Linked DNA regions of Schizosaccharomyces pombe. Changing the gene in region 2 together with the main gene of any one other region gives a genetic interaction. Each region holds a gene or a part of one and is shown on either strand. Other genes may lie near its edges.

The links.
Region 1: mutations in mug150 (region 2) and plb5 together harm fitness more than expected from each alone (negative genetic interaction), as found in Schizosaccharomyces pombe (one large-scale study listed by BioGRID).

The regions. Positions count from the first base shown.
Region 1 is NC_003421.2:1,738,077-1,754,856, forward strand, and holds plb5 (phospholipase Plb5), read right to left. Parts: upstream 5,384-16,780; coding exon 3,512-5,383; 3' UTR 3,126-3,511; downstream 1-3,125. Other genes in the region: wtf antidote-like meiotic drive suppressor Wtf16, read right to left, coding at 1,262-1,368, 1,419-1,481, 1,522-1,713, 1,759-1,971, 2,021-2,266, 2,434-2,572; nar1 (iron hydrogenase), read right to left, coding at 8,218-9,741, 9,820-9,912; serine/threonine protein kinase Cek1, read right to left, coding at 10,557-14,573; SPOM_SPCC1450.12 (uncharacterized protein), read left to right, coding at 16,211-16,489, 16,558-16,780.
Region 2 is NC_003421.2:1,296,718-1,312,399, forward strand, and holds mug150 (protein mug150), read right to left. Parts: upstream 4,238-15,682; coding exon 3,923-4,237; 3' UTR 3,470-3,922; coding exon of another isoform or gene 3,308-3,469; 3' UTR 3,214-3,307; downstream 1-3,213. Other genes in the region: karyopherin/importin beta family nuclear import signal receptor Kap113, read left to right, coding at 241-467, 545-1,577, 1,634-2,323, 2,374-3,213, 3,308-3,469; MAPK-activated protein kinase Srk1, read left to right, coding at 6,183-6,194, 6,418-8,148; SPOM_SPCC1322.09 (uncharacterized protein), read left to right, coding at 9,477-10,020, 10,079-10,257, 10,412-11,056; conserved fungal cell surface protein, Kre9/Knh1 family, Knh2, read left to right, coding at 13,063-13,851; rpl2302 (60S ribosomal protein L23), read left to right, coding at 14,935-15,106, 15,372-15,619. UniProt on the Schizosaccharomyces pombe protein: Has a role in meiosis.

The DNA.
Region 1 (16,780 bases), 440 kb from region 2:
ACTAAAGCGCTTTAACGATGCATAATCCACATTGGGGAGTTCTCCGGTTTTTTTACCATAAACGCCGTATCAAAGTGCCGTGATTTTCTGTAAACAAGTATAACGAAACCTCCGGTTATCCGTATAGATTACTTACCTAAAAATGATTGTAAATTAGCTTTCAATTTAGCTCAGGAAGAGTGTGCGAAAGAGGAGTGCTGTTCGTTAGGACTACCCACCCTTTTATAAGATTCAGATTTGCGACTAGCGGCTCCAATTCTTATCTTCTTTACGTAAAACTCGCACTTTGATATCCGAAACAATCTACTGAACCGCAACGCAAATCGGTAAAACCCATATCGTGTTAGCTACGCAGTTTGATATCTGTTTAATGATACAAAGCACTGCGGTGAGCTTTACTTGCGATCTACAACATAGCGGTACGCGGTATGTTAATTAAAAACAATATTATAATCATCGTTATAAGACGTCTAGTAGTATCAGTCACCGATAATAACTGAAATGAGGCCCAGTGGTAGCTCTATTTATAACCTTTCTAATATTTAATAAACTAATCTTAAGTAATATTCTGACATATAAAACAGACATCAAACCGCGTAGCTAACACTTATGCATCATTAAAGAACCCAACTTATGTTCGGTATATACGTTTACTGCGTTATTAGATACTCACTATTGCAATGTGTCTTTAGGTTATTACGATAACAAATCATCGTTTTAAATCACAATATTTTATTATGCTGTTCATTATTTTGTAAACATTGAAATTTGTTTGAATTGAACCATTAAACAAAAGGAAAAAATGATAATTAAGCTTGATTCATTAAAAATCAAGATGAAGGAGAAATGAATGCAATAAACGAAAATGAAATTGTGAATTTAACAAGGCGGAACAACGAGTTTTCCGATTTCATTAGTTGGTTTAAAGTTGTCGTAAACAAGTTAAACCATTATTGTTTGTGTCTTGGGTTCCATTAAAAAAGACACATAATTAGACTCGCATCATAATAAATAAGAGATTCGAATCTCAATGCATATTATCCAGATTATCCAACATCGCGAACCATTTTAAGCGATGCATTGGTTTGACAATTTTTGGTAATTGAAAGAATAAGTTAAGCATACATTCCATAAACTTATAAAGAAAGAGGATAATTAAAGAATGTTAGTGCTTATTTTTTAAAAAGCCGCAGCTTCTCTGCGTTGGTGATTGTCGTAAAGAGGTTTTCCAACTGGAGCGACAACTACAATAATAAAGCAATTAGACTTCGCTTTCGGCCTCCGTTTCTTCCAAGGGAATGTTATTATTATTATCGTTGGCACCTCTAAACGCATTTCCTATCCGCCCAATTGCATTTCCTATACCTTCTAATCGGGTAAGTAAAGAATCATTCATACAGTTGGTTGAATACACATACCTAGGAAAGAAGCTATACCATTCCTGATAAATTTGGGCATCCTTTTGAGAGCACCTGGACATTCTGATACGATTAGAATAAATTACAGGAATATTAAACAAACCCATTTCGTAAAAGAAAAAAAAATTGCCTATAACAAAGAGTGAAGTGGCTTCAATTTCGTAGCCTGTCGCGTCGATATGTTTATCAAATAAATACATCAAACCTTTCGTTACAATAACGACACAACTTTGTACACCCAGCACTTGAAACAAACCAGAAAACATATGCTTGAGTGTCCAGAATGGAAGACGAACTGCGTGTTAGCGGTCAGCATTGGTAACTCCATAACTTCACATACCATATAATAAAAATAAAAGTAAAGCAGCTGAAATACTGCATGTAGAACAGATGAGAGCCTTGTCTAAGTTCAGGTTACCGAATTTGATGCAACCAAAGAGTACAAAACAAATGACTACCCATAATAACCAGATTATTACTACCCATTTTTTCCTTGAGTTGTACAAGCCGACCGCAGTTACTTTAACTGCCTTGGTCCAAGTTTCATAGAAGTCTAATGAGTTAGTGACTGAAGGTAAGAATAACCCCATTGTCTCACTTACAAGTCAAGAATATTAAAGCCAAAGTGCAAACAAGACACCAAAATCCAAATAATGTCCATTCCGCTGCACCATAATTTTTAAAGAAAGCGTCCTTATACTTTAGATAACAAATTGCGAGTACATTCAGTACATAGATTGGTGTGAATGATATTAGCAGTTTTATCAAGAAAGGGGAAGAATTATCTGTCGACCTGGAAGGATTGTTTTCTCTATGTGTGTTAGGAGAATTGCTTACACGTGCGTGATCTGTTTAAATTAATATGATTGAAAGACTTTAGTAAAGAAAGAACATGTATTAAAATGTGTGCATTGCATGGCCAACTGTAAACAATGACCAAAGCATGCAATTTGACTACGATGGCAAGCTTCAATTTCAATTGAGTAATTCCTTTCTTATTATTTACAATTCTTACCCGAGTATGGAGGCAGTGCGCCCTCTTCCTCTGAATCATATTCTGGAAGTAGCCCTTTTTCCAAATCGATTTCATGTCCTGTCTTCGATTCATCTCCTTCATCTATAGGACTTTTCAAGGAAGTGTAATTATTCTTCATTTTTTCAAGATCATTCTTTATTTAATAAAATACATGCGCGAATTAATTGCTATAATTGCGACAAACGAAACAGCGAAATCAAGAATTTTCACTCTGGAGCCCAATTTCAGCCGTTCAACATAAAAAACGAGCAATTTCTTTCAAAGAAGACTTCTCTCTTTAATAATAGTAGGTAAAAGTTAAAATTCGAAAACTCATTTTCAAAATGCAATTGCTTCTGACACATTTATTTTGTCACTGCCCTTTTTATTTACCCTAACTTAGCTTTCCTTAAAACGTTTTTGAGAAGCAAACGTTGTAGTATAATTATAATGTCAGCTACGCAGTTTGGTATCTGGTTTAACGATATATAGCACTGCGGCGAGATTTCTAGGGATTTACAACATAGCGGTATGCGCTTTGTTAACTAATAATATTATATTTATTGTTATAAAAAGTCTAGTAGTATCGGTCACCGATATAGCCAATAACTGAACTGAGGAATGAGGTTCAGTGGTAGCTCTATTTATATTTTTCTCTAGTTGCTACCAATGTGTAACTTGTGTAGATAGATGGACAAACAGCTACAATCATCAATAAACTAATGTTATGTATATTTTAGCATGACATATAGTGCTACGCAACGTAGTATATCGTAGCGTGCTGGACTACTGCTGACACAGTATTTGAGTTGAAACATTTCTGCAAAGGTTACATAAATTAGTGTCATTTAGAGCTTAGGAATTCAAATTCGATGGTGTTAATGGCTTCTTGAAGCTTTTTTCATTCCTATATTTATTCACTATATCTTCCTTCTCGTTGTTTATGAGCAATAAGTAAAGAGCCGACTTTTGCTGGTTCTTAGATTAGTGAATATATGAACATTAGTGTTTCAATGCTTTACGCTCTATGCTACCATGGAAAAGATCGAACAAAATGGATTGTCGTGAGCGTTGCATACTAAATCTTGGCTGACAGAACTGTAGGTGCATATGTAGTAACGGTCGTGCTTGCAATTGTTCCATTCCAACAGTATTGATTAAAGCAAGAAGCACATTGACTTGGAGTCGACATGTTTTTGCGTTCCAAGGAACGTTGAACGAGAGCGCATGCAACGCAGACAGCAAATGAATCACTGTTATTTTGGGTAGCAGCAACAGCGGCATTTTCAATCATTCCACTGGACAAAGTATCTTCCAGTTGAACAGTGTAGGTAGTGACATTTGCATACATAGTCCAAGGATAGTTGGGGAAGTAAACTACAAGAGGAGGAGTATCGTCATTAACGGTATGGTTTCCGGCTGTGGTGTTTCTACCGTCGCAACCGAAGAAAGTTGGATGAGTGTTCAAACCAAGAGCCAAAAATGTGTTGGTATCAGGAATATATGGGAAACCACGAACGCCAGAGGAGTTAGTGGCTAAAACTCTTTCATATGTAGAAACTAGGGACGATCCATCTGGCCATCCACTCGTTGCGCTTTGATAACCCCCGTCAATCGCAAAAATAACATCTACGTCTCTTTGTGGATGAAGCAAGGGCCAAAAGGGAATACCTTCACTATCTGAGCCACCGTCTATTAATTCAATAATGGGATACGGCTCCAAGGGATTGGTAGTGGTTGTATTGGAAGCATTTCCATAACCTTGGTAAGGGTTGGGATAAAGACCTACATCCAATTGATCTTCGGCAAGCATTTCGAGGAAACTAAGGACAGCATTGTTAAAGGTATTATTACTAGCGGTGAGTGATGCATTTGTCGCAGGAAGGATACCGCTAAAAACATTTGAAGAGGTACCCATGAGGAAACCAGCGTTGTCGAAATTACGCACACAGGATTCATTAAGAGGAATGCCATTAATAAGGTGTGTACCTGTATACTCCATGGGTATAAATGATTCCACCCCAGTGTCCCAAGTACCAAATTCGATGGGTGTAAATTCAAAGACAGTGTCGTTCAAAGGGATTACGGTTTCACCCTCTATGACATTATCAGCAATGATGATGGGAAAGGGAAATTCACCATCCTGGAACCACGTTTCATTTGTTACACTAGAGAATGTAGTATTAGCACCTCCAGTCAAAGGATTGACAAGCTTAAGAGCCAAAGCACGGCCCCAAAGGTCAGTAATGGAGACATTGAATCCAGCATTCTTCTTTTGCAGAACTTGCTCAAACCACTCTTGGTAAATATAAAAGTTCTCAAAAGCGTCGTCATAGGGAGCGAAGAGACTGTGGTCCAGGTTCCAAACGTCGTCGTGCAAGAAAGTAATATTGGCAAAGTTGTTAACCGCAACAGATCCCACAAGCCAAGAGCCACCAGAAAGACCAGTAAGGTACATGGAAGATTGAAGAATACCACCAAGAGACGTAGTGTTACCATTTCTAGCATCAAATGCATTAATAGCGCCGGCTCCCGTTAACATGGCAGGAAATCCACCGCCAGAGATTGCAATTCCCAAACGAGGGCCATCTGTGTCATTCAGCACACTTTTTGTATCGATTTTTAAGCCGGTTTTTGAAATAAAGCTTTCCAATGCACTGTTAACCTTTGAGACACGTTTGTCAACAAATTCTTGTTCACCAGTACTAAGGCCATCGGAGGCAGGTCGAAGCAGAGAGCCACTAGGGCAAGCAACAGTATAAGGCGCATACGATGGGCTTGTGCTACGCTTGGAAAGGGGTATAGAGTTTGCTGGCTTATCAACGTTATCGGGTTTCAATAATCCGATTAGTTCTGGGTCTGAAACGTCTACTTCATCGATACGAGAAGGAAGGCCCAAGGCCGGCAAAAGCTGGAGAGCGAGAAATAATCCAAAGGAAGATAATTTCATGTTTAAAAAAAAATAAAATAAAAATTAAAAAAGCAAGGTTGGTTTAATAAAGGATAAAAGGATAGAATACGGTCAATGATTCGTTTTTAAAAAAAGTTCGAATTTTTCAATTTTCTCTGAATCCAAAAAAAGCAAGAGAGTGATTAACAAACAGCGAGTTTCTAAAGTCTGAATTTTTTGAAATTTTCTGAGAATGAAAAAAATCAAGACAATGAAAGTAATCAATTAAAGAGCTTTCAATTGTCAATTCCCAATCTAGTAAGTTCAACGAAAAATATTTAGATATCTAGAGAGTCCGTCGAGCTACAATGTCAATAAAAGCAAATTAAGCATTTGATGGAGCGGTTCGGCAAGCGATGAGCTTAAACTATATTTCCATCAGGACACCTAGTTTTGTCGAAAAGGTTGGGATGAGACAGGATTTCGACATATTTCCAAGAAAATAATATCATGTTCTTTTTTATGATTTAACCTATCTTTTTCCATTGAAATAAAAAAATCCCAATTCAAATTTTCAAGTTGGGATTTTGCTTACCCACCGTCCGTTTTAGGAATAGACAGACGTTTTTGCTCATTTCCTTGCCAAACACAAACCGGCCTTGCCAACTTTCTAGGCATTTGTAAATTGCTTGCTTACCTACACAGATCACACTAAAGAAGGATGAATCACTGATTGTTTGTTTTAACGGGATTTACCGATTCAATCACTAAAGTTGCAACCTTTATTCATTTATTCCCAAGTGCTATATATATAATATATATAGGCTTTTGAGGATGAACTCACTTGTAGACTCACTTTTCGCATGACCCACGTTTCTCATGATCTGCTTACCTTGATCCGCAATTCGGCGTGGACTAGAAGGAACTCCGAAGATGCCATCTATGATGTTAACGATTTTCTATATGTAGCACCGTGAGATTATGAAATGGTGGTCATATTACTAAGTCTTTAGATGCCAGTTGGAGTTGGATTGCCTAGTTATCATTAGCATTCATGGGTACCATTTATGCCCTATTCAATAAATATTTCAGCGATTCTATAATGGAATATTTAGATCAACCTAGGCTCAGCTTTAAATGACGGGATGAATATCAACGGCTAAATTTATAAACGGATACCAACCCGATTGCTGCGAACTCACGGATGTAAAATTGTCTGGTAATGCAAATCATCGACAAGTCCATGATGAAACGACTTTCTATTTTTTTTTTACTTCTATTAACGTCATTTAATGTCCAACTCTTCTAGGAAATCCCCAAATTCGAATATTCAATAAGGTAATGGGGTGCGATGTTTTTAGTTGATTCACATTGGAAATATTTCAATTCGAGATATGAAAAACCATTGATAGAAACAGATAGAGTAGAAGTTATTGCTTGATGCAACAAAATTTGAAGATTTGTTAATTTACAGATTTGCTATTCTACAAAGTCTCATCCCTACAAGCAGAAATGGATCTGAATAGCGATCGCTTTAGTTAGGTCATAAGATCGGCAGTCTAAACGTTGACCGCACATGGCTACATTGTAGCCTTTATATTCTTTCTTTCTATTCCAGTTATAAGCTGATACAGTAGATCTTGAATTTCATCAGTTTGTCAAAATATCTCTCTCGTTTTATCATACTTTACAAACCCAAAACACAAACATAAGAAACTGCACTGAACTAAATGCAAAGCTATAAGGTATTGTAACAAGCTCACAATGTGATATATAACCATTTCGACAGAGTTATTAAGAGATACATTATTTTACACTTTGTTTAAGAGTTCCCGTGTATCCAGACTGTATACCTCCTTTGCTTAGTTCCCGTGTCTAAGGAGCTATAACAAAGAGTTTTGTAAACCTAGATTATGCACTGGCTTGTACGTCTTAAATAAATTTAAAGAACTACTGAAGTGTCATCGGTATGTGATGAATCCTTAGCGTAGCAAAGGCAGTTGAGGTATTAAGGTCAACGAATACTGTATTATAGTAAGTTTCGCAATACAAGTTAAGCAACAACTCGTCCAAAATCACAAATACCAACTTAAGGAGTGATAAACTAGATATGCGTAATTGTGGAAATTTGTCGCACAGCTGAATACTCCCTAAGTGTAATATATAGTTAGCCAAATTAAATTAAACTAAATGGAAAACTCTGATAACTACTTGTGTTTGGTGTATAAAACTTCGAAGTTGCTTATCTCTTTACAATGCCTCTATAGATTTTTTGTTTATGGTCTTATAGCTGAGGCTACCTTTAAAGATGTGCGACCAAGAGCAACTTTGGTAAAAAATTTACTGAAGGATGAAGTTGTATGAGATTTCGTATTTAAAACAATTTATCTTCTTCATTGATTAAAATTATATGAAGCGCTTTTTTTTTTCAACTAGAAATCCCTAAAAGAAAATAGAAATAATATTCAAAGTGAAACTCTCTATTTACGAAATGGATACACTTAGATTTTTAAAACACATTCAAAAGTACTATTGAGAGGAAATGATTGTTTTTACCAGTGTATTCTTTAAATGTGTAGGATGATAATGGAGTTATCATTATTGTTATGTAAATTATTTGATAATATACCGGATATCGGTAATGAATTGAAATCTTGCGAATCTAAAAAATACAATGAGAAATGAATTCACATGAAATATTCAGAAGTAAAGTACTTCTAGGATCCTATCAAGCATGTATGAAGAATCACATATTAGCCAACTAAAGATTCGCGTATAACTTCTTCACTAATCAATTAATTTCAAATTTTTATTTCCCCAAAATAGCCAAAACCTATTAAATTCCCAATAAACAATTATAAAAAACCCATAAATTTTCCTTCTTTTAATTATTTTTACCACTTATTGGCCAGCAATAAGGGATTATCATTATCTGTTTGCACTGCACGATAGGATGTGTGAAGAAACTTGGGTGTCAGCGTAGGATCTTTGACCCATTGTTCTAACATATAGGATACTGCGGATTGATCTACAGACCTGGTACCGGGTTCATAGTACAGTTTCTCAACTTGTTGCATCCAATCTCTGGCTGAGACAATTCTTTCGACAGAGGGGAATGGAAGCTGACCGCCTCCATTGATACAACCACCTGGACATGCCATGACTTCTACATAGTCATAACGTGAAGGCTCTTCTGTAGGATTTTGAGCATTGCTTCTTACTCGTTTTTTTAATAAAACCCGGCCTTTTCGAACCGAGGAATTTCCATGTACGCGGCGTACCAAATTTTGAATGTTTCGGAATCCATAGCACGTTGCCATAGATATTAACTGTTCATTCGTTTCGGGGTGTCGTAAAGTATACTCAGTCAAATCGCCATTTTTGTTATTCATTGATACATAAGGTCCAACATCGTCAATACCAAAAAGCATTTTAGCAGCGTATGATAAAACATAGCCCATGTAACCTCCTGAACTAGAACCTATCTGTTCTTCATATGTTATTCGAGGATACCAAAAAGGGATTGCATCTGTAGACTGCTGAAACGGTATGGGGTTTTTAGTTAACTCAATTGGATCAATTCGTAAAAATTTAAACATTTCTACCAATTCCTTTGGCGTCAACACAGAATCTACGTCTCGAACACCGTTCTCTGAAAATTCATCACGACTGGCCTCAAGCTTCTTGTCAAAGCAAGGCATGAGACTCAAATGCCAAACATCATTACGTTGCATACTGAATTGTTGTACGGCCCAATCCTTCAAAATACGACCGCACGCCTGCTGAGGTGAACGAACACGAGACAAATTAGGGATCAAGTTAGAGTGAGTTTTCTCAACGTAACATATCCACCCTGGACAAGATGAAGACAAAATGGGAAGAACAGCATTCTCGTTAATGCCCGAATTTGATGAAGTATTAGAATGAACCCCTGAAATTTGTGAAGTTGAATGAGGAATGAGTGGATGTTCGTTTACGACGGAATTGGTAACCTGGTTTTGATTTTTATGAGCACGGCTTTGTAACCAAGAATTGCAAAACTCTTGAGCGCATTGTTGCAACACAATTTCACGAGAAGCATTAGTATCTAAAATAGCATGAAACCCAAGTTTTCCAATGAACACCATTTCTAACACTGCCTGTATTTCCTGTAAGGAGAGACCATAATAAGCTGCAAGATTCGCCCTCACTTGTGGACTAAGCGAGACATATAAAATTTCTTGAGATTTTCGAGATTCCAAATGCTTTAAAACTTCTTGGTAGGATTGAAGATTAACCAGAACTGTTTCTGCAGATGTAATACACCCACTGCAGGCCAAACAATCGTTCAGTGAAATACTAGCAATCCCAAGTTCGGAGGTCTCTCCAGTATCCTTAGTTACTTCATAGTAAGCATCCCCGTCTATACGAATGTCATTCTATCATGTTAGTTGGTTGAACAAAAAAAATAGAGATGTGACAGATGTTATACTTGCTGCTCTTCCAATGCATCTTACCTTGGATTCCTGCTTTTTAACTTGGGCAGGCTTTATGCAAACAGCTCCAGGACTTAAGAAGTCATTCAAGTCATTTACAGACAACTTTGCCATTCTGCCATAAAATTACAATGCTTGCTAAAAGTAAAACCCAGCATTTGTCATTGGCACAAGAAATTCTTTATTTTAGTAATATTATTTGCCACACTGTGGTGCACTATCCTTTTTATGAGACCTGAAAAAAATAAATGAAGTATGGAATAGTGAAACATGGTTTACTGCCTTATTCGTTTGCATTCTCAGTACCCGAAAATCATCAATATATATATATATATGTATAAAAAAGAAGATACTTTATTATAGTATTGTATTTATCAAACAGTTTGAGCTTGTTATTTCCGAATGATATATTTTATTTGTAGATTTAAATAAGTAAAAAAAAACTAAAGAAATGAGGGTAAACAAAACGAGATCCGTATAAAGTAAAACAACGGTTATGGTAAATTAGTATACAAATATTTTCATAATGTTCTTCACGTGTGAAAACTTATAAAAAATGCAAATGTCCATGAATAAACAGCGGGTTCAAGTTAAGGAATGCAACGCACTGAAATAAATACTTAAAGAAGGATAAAAATGCCACATTGGTCAAAAGAAAAAATAGTTAATTTTTTAAAGAATGTGCATGGGAAGTTATAAAATGAAAGGAAAGAAACAGTATATGAAGCTGATCTGGCATTTAGTATGTAAGATTCAATTCAAGAGTGCCAAACATCTAACTTTCGTAGACAGCTTTCAATGTTCTCACAAGTAATGGGTTTCAACAAAACTCCATCAGATTGTAAATCAGTCGGAATGCAAGTCTCGTCCTCGCAAATGTATACAAACGGCACCCTTGAATTTATAGTAGCACTGGTTCGCACTGAATACATTAATCGGGAAGAAGATACTTTATCATTTCCAAAATGTAAGAATACGACGTTAAATTGCTCGTTCTGCAAAAGCTTCTTAAGAATGCTCCATGGATCATCTATTAGAACAAGCGTTAACTTTGGAAAAATTTTTTTCAAGATCTCCGCAAGTTCAATTTCATCCTTAGGAATTATCATTTGTAAACGGTCAAGCTGAAATAACCCTGGATAAGAAATGGCATTTCGCTTATGAGTTAAACTCTGAGCTTGTAAGTTGTCAATCCTGCCCTTCTGAATTGTAGTATGTTCATCTGATGAGGTACCCTCTGTAACGTCTGGTAACGCCGTGTGCATGCTTGATTGCGATTGTGATGCTGACATAGTGCTTGAAACACCCTTATGATCTTCTAACGCTAAATTATCAAAAAATGAAAGCATCCGACCTTCTTTCAGAGAATCAAAATCATCAATTGAATCAATTGAATCTGTAGTAATATCTTGCACTCTTGTCGTGGTGGATGCCTCATAGTCAGCCATTGAAGCTCGACGCGAAGACTTAACAGGACCTACACTTTGAGAAGTTGAAAGTTTGGCTTTAAACCTACTCATGTACTGACTAAAGGTGTCATCAACAGAAGTCTTTGCTGATTTAACAGCCATATGCTCCTTTCTAAGTTTTTGAATAGTATTCCGGTTAGCTTTATTAAGAAAATCCAAGTTTCGATATGTAAAACTTCCAAATTCAGGAGTACTAATCGTATTGCTTCGTAAACGACCTTTACGATTACCAGACACATGCTGGGGTATAGAGGATGCAGGTCTTTCTTCTTCCAATTTTTGTGCTTCTGTCACCGTAGGTTGATTGTAATATTCACTGAAATCAAATCCTTTAAGTCCCCTAGAATCAAAATACACAGTGTCTTCAGGAGAAAAAGGTTTTGGTACAAATGGAGGGTCCTCTTCTAAGATAGTATCCCAGTTAACAGACTTGAAAAAAGGATGTGCTTTTATCTCCTCTACTCCGTTGGCACCAAGCCTATTTGCCGGATTCATACATAGAAGGCGATCAATCAAATCCAAAGCAACACTACTTTCAGCAGTAAAAACTTCGGCAGGCCAATTGATGCGCCTAGCAAGAATATTTTGAAAGACTTGGTCAGGCGTTTCCGCGTTAAACGGGGGGTATCCAAATAAAAACTCAAAAACAACGCAACCCAAGGACCACCAATCACTCGCTTTAATACCAGGATTTCCAAGGATAACTTCGGGTGCTATATAATCAGGTGTACCAATAAATCGCTTAGAGGGATCTTTATTTTCAAAAAACGGTTGAACTCGAGGCGAATCTGTGCTACGGAAAATGTTGGATTCGTCTACCTGAGAAGTAGGAGTATTTGTTGCAGTGGGAGAATCCTCAGCGCTGTTCTCGTAATTGAAACTTTGTCCAGCAAGTCGAATACTAGTACCATCTAAAGAAAGAAGCTTTTCATTTAATGAAGGCCGTTTGGGACGCTCTGGTGTTATCAAAGACTGTGCTTCTAGTACCGATGAAGCAGTACTAAGTGATAAATCAGATATAGCACTAGAGCGATCTCTCAAGTCAAGTACAGGAATTGAAGAACTCTGTTTTCTCCTGTGTCTTTTCATATAACCGACCCGACTCAAACCGAAATCTGTGAGCTTTAAATGTCCGTTCTGTGATATGAGTAGGTTTTCAGGTTTGATATCACGATGAATTATTCCACGATCATGAAGATCACCTAGACAAAGAACAGTTTCAGCTATATAAGTTCGAATCCAATCCAAATCTAATACACCCATGGTTTTCAGAAGTGAACCACAGTCTCCGCCGTTAAGATATTCCATAACTAAATAAAGGTAGTCTTTTGATTGAAAGGTGTAATACAACTTGGCAACAAATGGTGATTCGCCTTGAGACATGAGAATAGCACGTTCAGCTCTAACATTGATAACTTGATTCTTTGCTATCATATTCGATTTTTTTAATATTTTAATAGCAAAATAATCACCAGTAGTTCTTTTCTGAGCCAGATACACAGAGCCAAACGCACCTTTGCTAATCGGCTTCAATATTTTGTAGTCATTGATAGAAGGATGCTCAGGGGCAGAGTTGGGTACAATCGTATGTATACGAGGTGATGGTGATGGTAGACGTAGTCCCACATCTCCAAGGTTGCTGGCCCTTCCACGAGAAAACAAAGACGAACGACCGTTAGATGCTGGGCGATTCGGACCATCAGAAGCCACAAATCTTGGACTCGAATTTGGAGAAAGATACTTTAAATCATCAAAACGAGGATCGGAGAAATTGGAATCAGATGCTTTTCTTCTATGTAACGGAGAAGAATAATTTGAACTATCTTGACTCATAGGCGAACCAATTGCAAAATCTGGATTACTAAGAGAAACATGGCTAAGATGCCTTGAATAAGAAGAGGATCTTGAAAGATCATTGATATCAAGGCTTCTATCAGATTGTGGTGTATTTGTAGCGCTCCCGGGTCGAGTAATGCATTCCTCTGCCTCGAGTGCATCGCAGGCATCAGGAAAGGTAATTGAAGGCGCTAATTTAGATTCCAAGTGTCCTAAAGAAGTAGAGGAATGATTTGTTACCAAATTCGATACGACATCATCAATAATTTCTTGAACATGATGGTCAATTTCCAAACGAATACGTTCAGAGTAATAGATTGCATTTCGAAGACGCAAAACTCCAGTAATTTTAGTATCAACTGCTGTCTTTATGTCCTCCCAGAGAGCAATCACTGCGGATGAGCAATTTTCTAAGGACGGGTTATAATTATCAAGCTCGATAGTAGCTTTTTCTGACCGCGGAGACTGAACACGAAGAGAATCCACTTTATCAAAATTCACAATGATTTTCACTGGAGGAATAGTAATGTCGATAGCCACTTCCAAGTAGTACATAACCTGACTTAAGAATGAACATAGTGATAATGTTTGTTTATTCTCATCGGTAAAAAAATAATCATCCGCATCAACAATAAGCGGTTCATTTTTGTATACGGGAACAAGACTTGAATCTTTCTGCATTCCTTCCTGAATTTCCAGTAAGGTACTCCGGAAATAAAGCAAGGAATCCTGAGCAGCCTGTACAACAGATTCATAGGTGCTTGTGCTAAGACAAAACTTGGAGTGCAACTCGAAAAACCATGATTGTATTTCACGTTCACATATTTGGCAAAACTCTGGGGTCGGAAGTGGTAACGCATCTAAGCTGTTATGCTTGTGATAGGAAGTCCTTAAGTCGCATAAATATTTGTCTAAAAGACTGGCACCGAAACCGATGACATCCAATAATTTAGTTACAAGAGGAGATACACTACCAAGGGAATTGGTAGCTGGGTTCACAACCCACATCGTGTGTGCGGGAATTGCGGACCCAGGATGACGAATGAGAATTCCAATAGCATCAAAAGGTTTTGTAATTTTTTCATCGCTTGGAAGATCTCCTTTAGCGGTGTAATAGTTTTGATTGGCATGATTAGCGTTAATTGAATGTTGGAACCGAACATGATAGCTATGAGAGTCATCCTTCAAAAGACAGTTAACGGCTCTCATAAACGCATTGTATCCATCGGTACCAAGGACTTCTGCTACAGAATGCCCAATGATCTTGTCTTTGGGTATATCCAAAAGTTCGGATGAGTTATCGCTAATAAATTGAAAGTTTCCGGAAAAGTCAAGCTCGAATGCAACGGGAGATAAAGGAATGGAAGGTTGAAGGTTCTCATCTTTTGAGCTGAGAAGCTCTGCCTGGGAATGTTGAGCTTGGTCATCTTCCAAGAAGACTTCTTCGCGTTCGTTTTTTATATGCTTCATATACAACTGACGGAGTCTCCAGCATACAGTAAATTCAATAGAGGGATAGGATCATTAGAAGTATGAGCAGTAAGTATGCTAATTCGACAACTTTTTATATAAAACAAATAAACGCGCTATAAATAACTGAGTCACTGAAAAAACAAAGGAAAGAAAAACGAAGAGTATGAAATACCCAGCTGGATAATTCTAAAACAAACAAAAACAATTCTTTTAATAATGATAGAATTTCCACTCAGTATCTATACAATCAAGCTAGAAAAAAAGAACGATTTTTAGTACTTGGTGGTGGTTAGGAGTTAAGTGGCTTACAACTTAGTATTAGTATTGTGGTTCATTAGTCTGGCCGCATAATTCGTCAACAAATAAAAAATTTTTTCTCTGCTTCAGAACATAAAGTTATGCTTGTACAGCATGTATAATACTAGATAAGTATTCGGGGCGAAGATTTCATAGCAATGAAATGAATTAGGGTGGAGTGCTGTAAAGTAGCCAAGTTGAATCGACAATGTGAAGTAAAATAAACAATTTAAGAACAATTGTTTTAGCTGCTGGATTATAAATAGACAGTATGATGCCTATGGAATTTATAGATGTATGGGCACAAAAAATGGGTAAATACATGGGGTAAACATCAACATTTATAAAAAAAAAATGGTTGCAAAATTAGCACGCAAACGTTTAAAGATATCACTTTGTTTGAAAGAGGATCAATTGCTATGCAGAAGCGTGTTAGATTGGCTGCGCTTTTTTTTTATTATGTCTAGAAAACACAGACTTATAAATAATACCATCATCGCTTGGGAAGTACAGAAAAGTATAATAGAAGAATTTCAACTTGTGGGAATACATAAGCTATTTAAAAGGAAATATTTTGCGATTGCAGCTGATCTCTATATCATTGATTTTTCAATCGAGTGAAAGCAGACGGACTTGTCTTGAGTTTTTAAAAAATAAAAATAAAAAAGCACAGTAGTTACAATTAAAAATAATTATTAATTGGAATATGATATTTCCGTTTTTTAGGAATCGCTTGATCTCTTGTTTACAAAAGTAAATGATATGTTGTTTATTTTTTATTCAGTTTGTGTTACTCTTTTAAAAAGTCTAATATAACAAGATATATGAATTTGGACTTCCTATTATTTTACTTCTTTTTTTTTTTTTTGAAAGTTTCTAAATTTTTCAGAGAACAGAAATCTTAAACTATTTCCTTGCTCATTCAGAGGTGTAAACAAAGAATACGGAAAGCGGTCCATTCTCCCGCAAAGTTATATAAAAAAAAATGGAGCAAGCAGTATACAAAAAATCACATAATTAAATTTATTTATTAAGGAATGTTTTCTCATCAATGAATGTTTCCTTTTGCCTACCTTTTTCGATTTCTGCACCTTTTTAACATTTTAACATAAGGAGTGGTAGTGTAGAAACCATAAACCTAATTAGCGTACTTTCGCTTATTTTAACTTAGCCTTCACATCTTATACTTTTTAACGTATACTAGTCAAAAAATATTTTAACGAGTGTCCCTTAAATGTCGGTATAGACCTAGGTGAAATAAATATTACATATATTATTTACGAACTGGTACTCCCCTCTTACAGCATTCCGTGTAGCGGATAATTGATATTTACGACATGGATACAGCATCTCCAGAAGAGATAGATGCTTTAAAAAGACACTATTTGAAGAAGGAACTTTTCTCTCTTTTGATCGCAGACGAATTGAACTTCGTGAGCGAACCCACCAATTTGGATCATCTCGGTAGTCCATTTGTGGAAAAAGGAAAATCCGTGATCCCCTATGAAAAATCCCAAATTCCCGTTTTACGCTTCATCTTTAAAAGATTTATTTTAACGTTTCCGTTTTTGGATCCTGATAGCCAAAACCAACTTTGGAATGTGAACTTCCGCAATGTACGTAATAATGGATGGAAATGTTTTAAAAGTATGCGGATTGTTACTAACCAGATATTCTTTGTTAGCTATTAAAATCTCTCTCAAAAAGCAATGTCTCTGTTCTCCCGGATGATTCCGATGCTACGCATTTGCACAAATGGTTGCTCAAGTTCCAAAACATGCTTACTCTACTCATGAGTCGAGCATTTCATAGTATCCAGGATGAAAAGAACATTAACATTGAATTGCTAGATACCCCAAAATTGGAGAAGGACTTACATAAATCTGAACTCCAACAAAAACCAAATA
Region 2 (15,682 bases):
GTTCGAATTTTGAATCGCAGCTCGACCTCCGAAGGGTAACCAAAAAACCCAAAATCTTCTGATACTAAAATACCAAAAAAACTGAACGCAACGTTTTTAATTTGAAAATTATTTCACCATTTCCGAAATCGAAGCGCTTTCTAAGTGTTTCCTATAATTCCTTCCTTTGGCTCACATATACTGAGTGCGACTGGTACAGCCTTGCTCAAGCAAAAACCAAGTCTCAGACTTTTTTGGAGAATGCAAGTAGATCCTGTAGTATATCAACTACAACGTGCTGTAAGTCAAGATCCCATTGCTGTTAAGGATGCTGAAGGGCATTTAAACAACTGGAAAAAGGAACCAGGTTTCTTTGGCAAGCTGTACAGTATATTTTTGGATAAACAAAATGACATGAGTTTACGATGGATTGCTATCATTCAACTACGGAACTCCATAGATATAATATGGAGGAAAAATACAAAAATGTAAGTTAGGAGTAGTCTCGAAGAATCAACCTGTACTGTTAGACTTTCGTAATTGCTAATGTATGATTGTTTGGCAGGTCTTTACTTCCAGAAGAACGTGACTTTATACGATGTAATGCTCTTTTAGGATCTATAAAATCTGAAAACCTCTTATCTATTCAAAATGCGCTGGTCGTCTCTCGAATTGCTAGATTGGATTATCCCACCGAATGGCCTTCTCTTTTTCACGATCTTTTAGGCAAGTTACAGCAGTCATTGGGTACAGGAGATTACGATGTGGCTTTAAGATTACTAATTACTCTTCATCACATTATCAAAGCAATGGCTGGGAATCGTCTTTTGAGATCGCGACAGATTTTTTACAAACTTGCTCCAGAATTGCTTACGATTCTTCAACCCATTTTACATTCTAGTTTATCAAGCTGGATGATGATACTTGAATCTTCTAAGGAAATTAAAGATTCTACTTTGTTGTCTTATATGCAAATATCTCGATACACGCTTAAGGCATGTAGACGGTTGGTTGTTTTTGGTTTCCAAAATCCTAGTGAAAGTGAATTTAGTGAGCGTATGTTAGCTTTTTGTGCTGTTCATCAGCGAAAACTTTTGAGTATGCTTGGTACAATGCTTCAATCCTCGCGGTCTCCGATAGTAGTTGGGGAGTGCTTAGAAATGGCTTTTGCACATGCTTTCTTATTCAATAAGCCATTCTTTGATTTTTCTTTCTATAGTCCATGCTTGACTAAGTTTCCAGCTACTATTGATTACATTTCATTGCACTATGATTTTTTGGGTCAAATCAGTTCTCATCTTTCTTCATACAAAGAAAAGTTTGAAGAGAGCTCAAAAAATTTTGAAAAACTTGTGATTATGAGCTTACGAGTATTTATCCTTGTCATCCAAGAATTCTGCAATACTAAATCGTCGCACCCCGAAACGGCTCAAGTTCTTTACAACTCATTTCTCGTAGATAATCGTATAAACAATCTTTTGGATTTACTCATCACCAAACTACTAATATTAAAAGAAGAAGATTTTGAAGAATGGACGGATTCCCCACAACAATGGGTCCTTGAACAATCGACCCAGGATGTTGAGTTTAACGTTAGGGTAAGTTGATTATGAATATGGGTTTTTTGATAAGCTTATCATTAACGATAATATAGCCTTGTGCCGAAAAACTTTTAAAATGCTTCTTTGATGCATATGGAGATATTATCGTTTCGCCGTTCAAGGATATGATTTACAGCGTTTTTGAGTGTCCAAAGACGTTAACACAAGCAGTTCAACAAGACACTTTGATCAGTTCTTTCGGAGTTGGATATACCCAATTGAAGAGTATTTTTCCTTTTGCAAAATGGCTACAGGAAGCCGCAGTTCCCAACATGGCTTCCATTAATGATATTGGGATATCTAGAGTGTATCGACGAAGAATTGCCATTTTTTTATCGCAATGGATTGAAGATTCTTCTTCAGAACAACTCCTTGAGGTTATTTACAAATTGTATTGCTCATTTCTCAACTTAACAGATCCTTGCAATGACGCCGTAGTCATTTTAACAACTATAGATGCTTTCAAAACCGTTTTAGATGATTGGAATTTTTCTGAGAATTCATTTCTTTCTATCAAAGAAAATTTGTTTGTCCATGTTCTTTCTTTGTTTAAAGCGTTTGAATCAGTCGATGCTAGGACTTCCATCTTGTCTTTACTTGGTACTTTATTGGCAAGGGCCGGAGAACATGTTGCTCCCATGGAAAGTACCATTGCTTCTCTCCTTTCTCAATTATGGGATGGTTGGAAAAAGGAACCGCTGCTGCGAGCACGAGTTTTGGCAGTTATGCACCAATTCGTCAATGTAAGTGTTTGGCTATATACAACAGACTGTTTTCTTATACTAATTTCTAGGCGATCAAAGCAAAATCTTTTGAATTTTCAACTTTTTTATATACGGTAATAGAATATTGTGTAAATCCGGAATCTCCAGAGCATGTTATTTTCGAAGCGGATGCAATGGAATTGTGGAGCACCTTTCTCATGTACATACAAAAATTGCCAGAAACTTTTACCCTACTTATCCCTCATTTATTGTACCATCTTTCACAGGCCACGTCTACCCTTCCATTCGTTCTAATGATAGTAAGCAGTTATCAACTTTTAGACAATACCGTTTTGATGAAGGATTACTCATTTACCATATTTGAAAAGTTGAACGACTTATTAGACGATGTAAAAAACGAAACTTTGCAAGCACTATGTAAAACTGTATGTCTACTCATTGAAACTACTCCGATGGATATGATTTACGAATCATTGCTGAACAGTTCACTTCTGTCGAGGCTCCTACTCTCCATTGCAACAAATGATAAACACCCTCAGGTGTTGATTGAATATTTATTGGTGGTGTCACGCATCTCATTGCGCGAGCCGGAATTAATATTGAAGGTTTGTCAAACGAAAAATATCAACATAGCTATGCTTATCGGCAACTGGATTTTATTAAACGACCACATAAACCACTCGAAAGATCGAAAACTGAACACACTCGCCCTCAGCTCTCTGCTGCGAACAAATCATCCCGACGTTTTGGCAGTGTTGGATTCTATCATGAATTTATGGTTCAGCGTTTTGAGTGAGGTGGAAGAGGATGCGAATGGAGATGCAACGATTTACTATAAAAATGATGACTACTCGGCTGTTGGGTTTTATCTCGATGAAACCTCAGAAGAAATGACTCGACGAAAGCAGGTAAGTGAATGAGAGGCTAGAAATATGTTTATTGTGTAAATGAAAAAGTTTTATTTGTTTGCTTTTGTTTTATTAATACTAACTTTTATTTTAGCTGCTTTTAAAGGATCCCGTTCATAGTGTTAACTCTCGCTCATTTTTTATTTCTGTATTTATGTTTTGCAGAGACGCTAATGGTGGAATGGAGAATTTTCAAAACCAATATTTATCGACGGTCAACCCAGCGTTGTTAGAACAGTTTCAATCCATGCTATAGGAAAAAAGAAGCAGTAAAAACAACATCATATTTCATGATAAAAAAGTTGGTGTTAATTTGTATATCTAAATTAAGCCAGTTGCTACGATTTTTGTTATACTGATTAAAATCCCAATTCAAGCTAACATGATGGATGGGAAATTTGGTTGAACTGCGGTTCAGAAGGAACAAAACTTACCTTTAAAAACCCTTCTAAAAAATTTCCTATGCGATTTCTTTAGCTGTCGCACGCTTTTTTCACTTATTCTAATACGACTCTGCCTTTCCTATCCGCCAATATCGTCTTAGCCAGTATATCCAAATTATAAGTATAAACATGAATACAGTAATAAGAGAACTGTTCATTCTTAGGTAGGCCTTTCTTATATAAACATATTCAGGTAAAATCAACATTAACTTTATATTCATTATGACTATTGAAGAAGCGATTCCTCAGCCTGTGCAAGCTGTCAGCTATATTTCCAAAGATTGGAATGATAACGTAATAAAACACAGTGATACGAAAAGAAACCATAGTAAAGAGGAATCATTGTAGAGAATCTCAGTAAAGTATGGAATCGCTATAAAGAGAAAATTGAACAGAGGAAAATCGCAGCAAAGAGATATGGTAGTACAAACAATCCATGCCTTATACAAAAGGTAAAGGTAATTCGACAGTACAATGATATTTTTTAAAAAAAACATGTTCTTTCTACTACAATTATTTGGCTTGTCACTTGAGGCAAAGACGGCGAAGCGTTTATCCATGATGATAAACAAGCTCGCCATCTCTATACTTAAGGGCTTGCATTGTATGGAAAGGGCGCAATTGCCGTGCCCTATAAGAAGAACTTTTGATTTTTCAAATGAATTTTAGATCTTGAAGTCAGGCGACAACAGCCAAAACATCATCTCATCTCATTCATTCAACAATGAGGAATGGGCGATTTTTCATCCAGCGTTTTTATCAGGTCAATTGCGTCGATCTCATTGTACACCAAGATGATGGATATGTAATGAAGCCAGCCAGTCGGCTTATGAAAATTTTGCTAATTATAAGAAATCAATTGCAAGTAACAGAAATGAGATGGATCGCTGCATCAACAAGGATAATGAGATAGACAGATAAAGTTTGTTGAAAATTTTCACGACAGAAGAAAATCACTCAACTAATCAACTCAAAATGGAATAACATGGAAATTTATTTCGCCAAACAGTGCAGAAGCCACTCAAAAGTGAAATGAGCAATGGAGGGGAGGAAGGAAAGATTGGTTGATTTGCTGTATCAGATGAAATTCATGGGTGAATGAAAAAGAAAAAAAGGTTTGCAAGAGGATGGATGAGTGAGATTGAAAAAATATTAGATCTCGAATAAATTCTTTCTATCCATCTTTCATAGTATACAATCGAAAACAAGATAGAACACATCCATGCCATCCATACTTCTATCTTTTTTTTTCTTTCTCTCTCTCTCTCTCCCCCCCTAGCATTCCTCCAACAACCTCTTTATAAACGATATCCTCTTCTCTTCCCTTCCTACACCAATATCCTCCTATTTTGTCTCTGATGTCATGCTGACCTCCACCCACTTTACACTTTTACCTCGCCATTGCACCGTGTCGCTTACCGCAAAACCTCATCGAGTCATGGATGCGCAACGTCACCACCATCGTAAGCGAATACAGAGTTGGAACGAGCGGCTCGCATGATGCCAATGACGTACGTTAACGAAGGACGTCAAAGTAGGCAAATCCGCCGACATAAACTTCTTGTCTTTCGCATACCACGATTGTTGGACACCAACAATATATTTCTGTGAAAATCAATTGAAAAGCTAATTTAGTAATTTTTTGGAGACTATTGGAAGGGTACCCAGTATTGGAAAGTTATATGATTCTTAAAAATGTACGTTTGTAAATGTTTGCTCACTCGTTCGTGTGGGTAATGTTTGAGTCGGATTTTTGTTTGGATTGTGGATGTAAACGCGGATATTAGAGGCTGGAGATGAGTATCGGAAAGACTTTGCGTTTGGAGAGTGTTGTTGACGTTACACTTCCTACCTTTGGACTGGGTTGGGGATAGGGATCTTAGGAGAGATAAGTGGACGAATGAATTAGGACGGTTGGACAATATCGAGTCTTGGAAGATTACTGAATTCTAATAAAAAAAAAAGAAAAGCAAGAAGCGATTTTTTTCTTTTGTGTTTTTATTTCATTTTTATTTTCTTTCCAAGTCTGTGACTAGTTTTTTGGACTTTTTTTTGGATTTTTTTTTTCTTCTACGTCAGGTGCTTTCATACGGAGATTTGCTCTTTCCTTGATGATCAGTTTTGATTTCATCTTTACCTTATTCTATATCACGTCTCCTTCCCCTTCTGCTAGGCGGTGATTGTATGCTTGACTTCATTCTCTACATCATTCAGGTGACGGGTTTCGCTTTCAAGTCGTTAAGTTAAATTTGGCGGATGCGCAAGTGTATCTTTTTTTTCATTCTTTTTGTGCGAAATTCCTTTTTTTTTTCTTTTTTTTTTCTTTTTTCTATCATCTTGTCTCTCTGTTATCTTGGTTTAGTTCAAGAGTACGGATGCGGATAGATCAGTGTCAAGAATTTGGAAGCAAATGTGTTGGCACATTTCCAGACGTAAAACCAAACGACTAGAGATCTTTAATTAGTTATTTTTCTAATAATACCCATATCTCTTGATTGATTCCGTTTGTCGCCGTCTGTTCAAATAATGCGTTTTAAAGTATGTTTGAATTACCAAAAGCATAACCATAACCATGCCTATTGATTATACTCCCATCCTTTCCATTCCATCCCTCTTCTCAGTAGGAAACATCAATCTCACCGCACTTCTTTTACGCATACAATGTGTTTTGGTTTTGTTTTCTTCCAACCACCTTTATCCATAAACACATTTCCCTTTTACTTTTTTTTTGTTTTTTGTTATGCTAATTTAATTTATTTAGAGTATTCAGCAAAATATCGAGGACGAGGGCAAGGTGAACGTTCGCGAAGTGAATCCCGATTCCTATGCTGAACGGGACCATGGCTATACTGCTGGCATATTTTCGGATGCTGAAGAAAATTTTGGCATAACTCAGCAAGTAGCGGACTCCACTCAAAATCCCACCTCGAAACCCAAGTCCCGGCATGCACATTTCCACGAGACGGTGCACGAGAATCCTTCCGAATATTCGCGCTCCAAATGTAAACAACCTACCAACGAAAAAGAATATGATAAAGCCATCGAGGCTTTAGTTGCAAAGGCCATTGTTGAGGAACATTCCGGCCAACAATTTCCTGTATATAAAGGCCTTGAACAATACACTCTATTACAAAAGATGGGCGATGGTGCTTTTAGTAATGTATACAAAGCTATTCACAACAGAACGGGTGAAAAAGTCGCCATTAAAGTTGTCCAGCGCGCTCAACCAAACACCGATCCTCGCGATCCCAGAAAAAGACAAGGCGTTGAATCGCACAACATTTTAAAAGAGGTTCAAATCATGCGTCGCGTTAAACATCCTAACATCATTCAACTCTTGGAATTCATCCAAACCCCGGAATACTATTACCTGGTTTTAGAGCTGGCTGACGGTGGTGAATTATTTCATCAAATCGTTCGCCTCACCTATTTTTCCGAAGATTTGTCTCGTCATGTCATAACTCAAGTTGCACATGCCATTCGATATCTGCATGAAGACTGCGGTGTCGTTCATCGTGATATCAAACCTGAAAACCTGCTTTTTGATTCTATCGACTTTGTGCCCTCTCGGGTTCGTAAATACCGTGCCGGAGACGATCCCGATAAGGTAGACGAGGGCGAGTTTATTCCCGGTGTCGGCGCTGGCACCATCGGTCGAATCCGTCTCGCAGATTTCGGTCTAAGCAAAGTGGTTTGGGACTCTCACACTCAAACTCCGTGTGGCACTATGGGCTATACAGCCCCTGAGATTGTCCGTGATGAAAGGTATTCTAAGGGAGTTGATATGTGGGCTTTGGGATGCGTATTGTACACTATTCTTTGTGGATTCCCCCCGTTTTATGATGAAAGCATTTCTTTGTTGACGAAAAAAGTCTCACGAGGCGAGTATTCATTCCTTTCTCCTTGGTGGGATGATATTTCAAAGAGTGCAAAGGATTTAATCAGTCATTTATTAACTGTCGACCCGGAATCTCGTTACGACATTCATCAATTTTTAGCCCATCCATGGATTTCGGGCTCTCGGGAACCTACCTTTCCTGCCACCGATGCTCCTAACACTGCTCAACGCGAAAACCCATTTACCTATGACTTTCTTGAGCCCGAAGACGTTGCTGCTGCCGGTTCAGCCGCTCGTACTCCTGGTGTTAACTCGTTGAGAGAAGTATTTAATATTTCGTATGCAGCCCACCGAATGGAACAAGAGAAGATTAGGAAACGTGGTCAACGTGGTAACCAAGGAATCATGAATTTTATGGGTGACATGGATGATTTGATGGAGGAGAATGATGATTACGATGATGGTACCAAGAGCGTTGAACATTCGATGAAACGAGTCAACCTGTCAGGTGAAAACGATCCTAGCCTTGCTTCCCGCCAACCTGCTCAATCGCAACAACAATCATCTCAAAGGTCGCGGAATAAGTTCAAAGGTTTCCAACTCAACTTGTCAAAGGCAACTTTGTATAATCGTCGACATCGACAAAAAGTGTAACACAGACGTCTAACTTCGATTACTTTTCTTTTTTATCCAAATCAGTTGCTTTTAAATGCGATTCAGTAATGCTGATTTTTCGACACTACTACTTTGTTGTATTCTTCCTGTTTTGAATGTTTACTATTTATGAGTTATTTACCTTAAAATTTATCTTCAATCTTTTTAAAACTATCCACTCTGTTAATCAATTGACGCTTACTCAGTGACGAATATGTTCTAATAGTTGGGATTTATTCCAATACTTTCAATTTATTGTTACCTTAAATTTTCTTTATGATAGAACCATACGAATTATATGATGCTCAACAACTATTCTTAGGACTGAGATGTTCAAAAAGATGGAAACTAGTTATGCATTCTTTTAATGAAACCGTTGTTTAAATTAAAATTTTCAAGGGGTGAAATTGGAATATGGTTATTTTCAACTTTGCATATGACATGGCTTCCCAAAAGTTTCGATATTGTACTTATTTACGTACTGTGTAACCGCGATCTCTTGATTCTTTTTAGCTTGAAAGAAGAGATTGAAATATTACCAGGCCTGTCTTTTAATGACAAGGACGTTTAATGCTGTTAGATAATACCATTAATGATTTACGCATTTTTTTGTCAGTGTGTGCCAAAAAAAGCCATTTGCTCTTTGTCACGTTGTTTTTAAAGAATCTATCAATGACTGCTAGTCGTTTTGATTTGAGTAGATAGAATTTTGTGCAATATTCGCTTGATCCTGTATATATTCCAATAGTTTAGGCATGAAGGTTCTGTAGTGTTTTGTCGATGATGTTGAAGTGAAATTGATGATAAATAAATGTATTAAATAATGTTCGTTGGACGGCGTGTATTATTTGGCCAAAACGGATAGGAAGTTGCTGACCATTGTTTAAGCTATTGCTTTTTTTAAACAATGTGTAGGTAAGTTACAGCGCACGGATAATAAATATCTGTTGCTTTCTCGTTTCTCGTAAGCATTATGCCTATAAAATTCACGCATCAGTTGCACGATCAAGACCACTGTTGCATAATTGACTCGCAGAATGTCGTTCGATCAATATTGGTGAGAGAATCATAAGAACAAACATGGTACAGTAAACTTTTTATGTTATTTTTTAGATAAACTTTTTTAAAATTCACATACCTTAGTTCACGACTTTACTTTTAAAACGAAATTATTAAATTCTTTCATAATGTAATAATATAATAATAATTGCATAAAATTTTCTTAACGAGGATTTTTACCGTTATATTATAGGAGTCCTTAATGTGGCTTTTTCAGCCTACGAAACTCATCAACTAGACAAGACCGTGTGATATTCCTGCTAAACAGTATGGCAGAGACCAAAGAGCAAACTGATGATGTCGAAACATTAATGGCATCATTGGATCAACTTGGCATGGAAGCAGATCCCACTTCCAAAGAGTTCAACAACGACGACTCCAAAATTGGTGCCCCATCTGAAGTGCAGGACGAAAAAGAACTGCTGGAATTTTTAGATCAGCTTGAGAATGACGAAGAAAAGAATGAGAAAAATCCTATAGAAGAGGCCAACGAGGAAAATGAATCTGTCGCAGCTACCTCGAATGAACGTCAGCAACATGATGCATCAAATCAACCGTCTCAAGCGGCTCAGACAACTATAAATAAAAATACAGAATCCGCTACTCCAAAAACGGTTAACGAAATCAACAAGTCCCAGGAGTTCCAAGAACATGTAGAAACACCCAAACAGAGCAACTGGCTTGGTGGGTTTTGGTCCACTGCGTCCGCTGCTGTTCGATCAGCTGAACAACGAGTTCGCTCCATAAAAGGGTTTGAAGAGAATGCCAACTGGGATATTAACGTGCGTAATATGGTGGACTTGAACAAGCTTGGTAAGTAGAATTTCTCTTTTGGAAGAAAGAGTTCCTTTTGCTAACAAATGTCTTTTAGGAGATTTGAGCAATGGAATAAGGAGTAAGGCCCTTCCCACATTAAGCAATACAATTCACAACGTTCTGAACGTGGTGGCACCTCCTATTCATGATCATGAAGTTTTGCAGGTGACGGTATTTCATGATCTAGCAGGATTTGCACACCTGGACCGTATAGTGTATGAAAGCTTTGAAAAAGTAAGTTGCGTATTTACGTTTACGCTTTGGACATAGCACTAATATTTGTGCTTTCTTTTATGCTGTCACCGATTACTTGGTTTTCAAAAGACAGATAGGTCAATGCATAATCATAATTAAGTTTTATGGGATAATTTTACTGACATGTTACCAGGTGATGTTCCAAGTAGAAGGAGGTGAATTAACGGTGTTATTGGATAAGGAAGCTAAGGTTCGACCCCGAACGAACGATGTCTATGAAGACTTTGGTCTATGTAATGGTTATTTGGAAGCGAAAAAACTTGCAAAAGCCAATTTAGCTGAACCTATTACGGAGGCTAAAAAGATGAACAAAGAAAACAAGCAAGAAAATGTTGGAGCTGGTGATGATGAAGACGCTTCAGAATCTCCTATGGTTCGAGTAACTCACTTACTTCTCGTAATCCAAGCATTTACTATCAAAAATAAAGAAGTTTCGGATGATGAGCAACTATGCTTTCTTATTCACCTTAACGATACTAATCATAACTTGGAGTTTTCTACCACTTCTCAACCTTTGCCGCTTGAATGGCAACGATGGGCTGTGGACCCTCGATACATTAAGCTTTTCGGTTCTAACGCCATATTACCAAATGAATGGGTAACAGAATGGGTGGAACAATCCATTTCTGTTGCAGCAGGTATTGTTGCCCAAATGTATACCTCAAAGCGTATGGCCCTTGGCGATCCTTCTCTTTTCGCTGGTTTACCGGAAGAAGATGTTAACACTGGTTCATCTGAAACTCCAGTTCCATATTATGACGGAGCCATGTATGCCTAATTGATTCAACTTTAATGAATTATGAACTTTTGATGCATTGTTTCGAATTTAAAAAAGGAAATAACAAATGAAACTACTTTCTTTGTGCCACATAATCGTAATAATATTGACGTGCTTTTCAATATGATAGAGCAATGTTAGAGTAGTGAGCGAAGAGACTTAAGCAGTAGCACAGCAACATGTGAATGTTTTTCGATGAGAGTGGGTATATACGCTTTAAAAATATCGGTACAAGAGAATTAAAACATTTACATTAGCTGCTGAAGAGAACACAGCTGTTAGAAACAAAGCAAACTATTTGATGAGATGGAAAGGTGGATTTTCTTCATCTGTTTACACTAGCATTTCATCTATTAGCGCTCTGTAACGTATTCTGTTATTTATTAATTGCAACATATTAGAGTGGGATCATAAGACGAACGTGACGATAAACTTAACGAGCCATTCATTAGGATGCAAAATAATGGGATTTAGCGAGTTTTAATGGGCTATCTTATTTACAAAGAGAAAAAGGGAAAGTAAAAGTATTTATGGACTAAGACATGTGCCCTTTTAGAAAAGTTTTATTTGAGTGCTAGCACACCTGTTGATGATGAATAAGACCAATTAAGTATCCGCCTCATTATCGCTTGTCTTTTACAGCTAGCTCATTTACGAAACTAGGTGGAAACAGGTAACTTCGTTGGCCCAAGCAGGTTGCTGAGCAAGGCAGCAATCATGTCATTAGACGAAATGTTGGTAAAAAAAAAGGTCACGATTGGATGTGAATTCCCAGGCAAAAGGTGATATGAAATCAGGCAAAACGCATTAATAAGCTATTTAACCTGATTTTTAACTATATACTGAGACAAGCAATAAATCTTACTACGCAGTTTCTTGTGTCACGTTAAAGGAATTGTTAATAATGAAGTGTGCGGTAAAGGCAATTATGTGTTGCTAATACTCTCGGTATAAGAAAATGCAAATCACAAAAGAGTAAAAAAATGGAAAGAAGCTTGAATTGCAAATCGTCTGTCTTTTTTGGTAGGTTGGCTGGTCGTTTTTTACTATTCTTTAGTCATCGTCGGTATTGGTTTTGCCATATGGTCGGGAGGTGGAAGAACTGAATGAAAGTTTTCAGACGCATTGCATCCGAACTGGAATACGCATTCAATTTTTTGAAAACGGGATCATTGCGGATTATTTCCTATTCCGCTTATTTCCATTGCTGGCTAGCTGACCGAATCGGTTTGGAATTGATGTATGTTTCCCTGTTTTGCTCGACATAACCTCATCTGCCAGCCACCTCCATATGCGCGATTATGACTTTTTGACAGTGAGTATATGGAAGACAAGAGTAGAATTGACGACATAGGGCGGGCGGGAAGGGCAGATGGGATAAGATTTAGTAAAAAGTAAGCTAATTGAATGAAGAATGCTTGATGAAGATGGCTGAAACTGTGATTTCACTACTTCGTAAATAAAGTCACACAGTCCGATAGTTGGCCAGAAAGACATATACACTCCCATAATACAAAGACACGAGCCAGATGCATCCTATAATTGGGAAATCGTAATAAAAAACATGTAACAAAGTACCTCTGTTTAATTATTGAAAAAGATTTATTCCTATTACTAAGGTACGCATTTTGTTGTGGTATACGCGTCTTTGTTTGTTTACATTTTGGTGGTGTGTTTACTTTCTCACTGCCCGCATCTAAAAATATTATCCGTTACCATTGAGGGGGTTGGTCGGTGTGGTAACGGTTACCCTTCTCAGCCTCCTCCAAAAATTGCCATGACGTGAAGAGACAGTTTTCCAGTATATATATGGAAGGCTGCTCCATGGGAGGTTCAGTTTTAACCATACACTAAGTACTTGTATCGTTCTTTGTACAAGCTTTTGCTGTTTAATTGAGCGAGCGGTTTTCATTTAAACATCTTTCTTTTTATTTCATTTAATATAAACAAATTAATTTCATTAATTTTCATCTTTTCTTTCTCATTTCTTTTAAGTAATCGTGAAAATGCTTGCTCGTGTCGGTACCACTTTATTCTTTCTTGCTAATGCACTTGCTGCTTATGCCGTCTCTGTCACTTCTCCTACTCGTGACACCACCTGGCAATCCGGCCAAGTGAACACCGTCACCTGGTCTTCTGTCAGCACTGATCCCGAGGAGATGGTTATTATGTTGGTGAACAATGCTCATTATCCCAACCAAAACTTTAATCTCGGAACTGTCCAATCCTCCGCTGGATCTTTGGATACCGACATCTCCATCTCTTCTGATCTCCCCACTGACGGATGGCAAATTTACTTCAACGGAGCTACTTCTCAAAACCAAGGTAGTTTGGCTCAATCTGAGCAATTCGACTTTGAAGGTAGTGATTCCACTTTGGCTGCTAGCACCATTAGCGGTGGTATTTACTCTTCTACCTCTGCTTCCTCCACTAGCTCTAGCACTGCCACCCCCTCTTCTAGCTCTACTACCTCTTCTTCTTCCTCTAGCAGCTCTTCTACCCCTATCTCCTCTAGCATCACCTCAAGCATCTCTTCTTCCGCTTCTTCCTCTGTTAGCTCCTCTTCTGCCAGCTCCAGTGGATCCATCTCTTCTGCCGATGCCAAGACCGTAAGTGCTAGCTCCAACTCCACTATTAGCGGATTTTCCACTTCTACCACTAGTGCTTCCAGCTCTGCCGCCGGTAACTCTAGCTCCTCTAGCTACACTTCTTATAGCGGTGCTGTTTCCAACGGCGTTGCACAACTCTCCGTTGCTGCTTGCATGGGTATTGCCGCTCTTATGCTTATTGCTTAAAGAAGCTGACAACCGAGTTGGCCTACTATGCTTCAACCTTCGAATTACCACAGAGAACCATTGAAACATATTTCGAAAAAAATATCTATCTAGTTCATCTACTCATCGCTACATATGAGGGGCGCATTATATTTTTAGTCTGTTTTTTTTTATCATTTAACTTGCGCCCTCTGTTTATACTGCTTTTTTTCATTCCTTTTCATATATTTGGCAAATCATTTGAAATCTATCTTTTCATCATCATTAGTCTGGTCATTTTGCTACTCTTTTATACTAAACGTTAGTTTTTTTTGTGCGCCTGATGGTTTCTAAAAAGTCACGCATGTCTTGTTCATAGCTGATCATCATCATCATATAGCAATTCCATTTCATTTCATATATTCTATACAGTTAGTTGTGTGTGTAGTTTCTGTAAACTGTTATAGTTCAAAGAATTAACTGAATTGTGAAGAAACGTTCTTTATGGTAATGCAAATTACTTTTACTTGTTCCTTCATTACAGTCATAAATCCATTTTTTGAAGTATGAATAAGCATATATATATGTATGTTTAAATTTGATCTAGTTTAGTGTGAGTTAGCGGAGGATTGATTTCACGATGGTGAGTAAAGTACTGTTTATAGATAATTACAAGCTGTTCATTATAAATCGTTGAAATCAAATATATCATTTAATCTAAGATGCAATTTTGCAACCATTCTGTTGTTAGCTGTAATACATTTACATATGCCACACATTCCAACCAAGCCGTCGGCCGTTTTCGCTCAAAATTTCTCGGACCTGTAGCTTATCGCTTTCTGAATCATGTAAAAAATATATCGGCCGCTTCTAGTAACATACTGTTGGAACATTACACCTAGTCTCTTATACTTCCTATTTTTGTTTATTCCTTCCTTCCTTCCTTCCTCAATTGTTACTGCAAACCCGAAAAAAATACTGTTACCTGTAAGACGATGTTGAATTTGTTTTGTGTTGAGAAAAGAGAGCAGTCACAAAATTTTGAAGGTAACATTTCTCATTAGTGCAAACTTGCGGGTTCGACGTTCCTTCTACAACCAAACACCAGCAGAAAATTATCACAAAATGTCTCGTGGACGCGGTGCTGCCTCTGGTACTAAGTATAGAATGACCTTGGGTCTTCCAGTTCAAGCCATTATGAACTGTGCTGATAACTCCGGTGCTAAGAACCTTTACATTGTCTCCGTTTTTGGTACTGGTGCTCGTCTTAACCGTCTCCCTGCTGCCAGTTGTGGTGGTAAGTAATATGTTTGATTAAAAGTGCAAAGTACAAAAGTTTTTGGCTTTAATTTCGAGTGAGAGTATGGCCTAAATTGGACGGTTGCGTATGAACTCGATTAAAAAGTTGGCTTTCTTTGCCTTGGTTTCAAGGCTCATTAGCAAAGCTAGAGTCATTTTGTATTTGATAATTTCTTATATGTGCTTTTTCTCTTCTTTTTCTTTTCCTTGCTTATGTTTGAGCGGAAAATTTTAAGATTGCCTTGCTAACGAAATTTTTTTAGATATGGTTCTTGCTACCGTCAAGAAGGGTAAGCCTGACTTGCGTAAGAAGATCATGCCTGCTATTGTTGTTCGTCAACGTAAGGCCTGGCGCCGTAAGGACGGTGTTTATCTTTACTTCGAAGATAACGCTGGTGTTATTGTCAACCCCAAGGGTGAAATGAAGGGTTCTGCTATCACTGGTCCCGTTGCTAAAGAATGTGCTGACCTCTGGCCTCGTATTGCTTCAAATGCTGGTACCGTTGTTTAGGAAAGAAAAACTAACCCCAATAAACAAATCATTTGTCCCTACCGTTTATCCTTCGTGTAAATT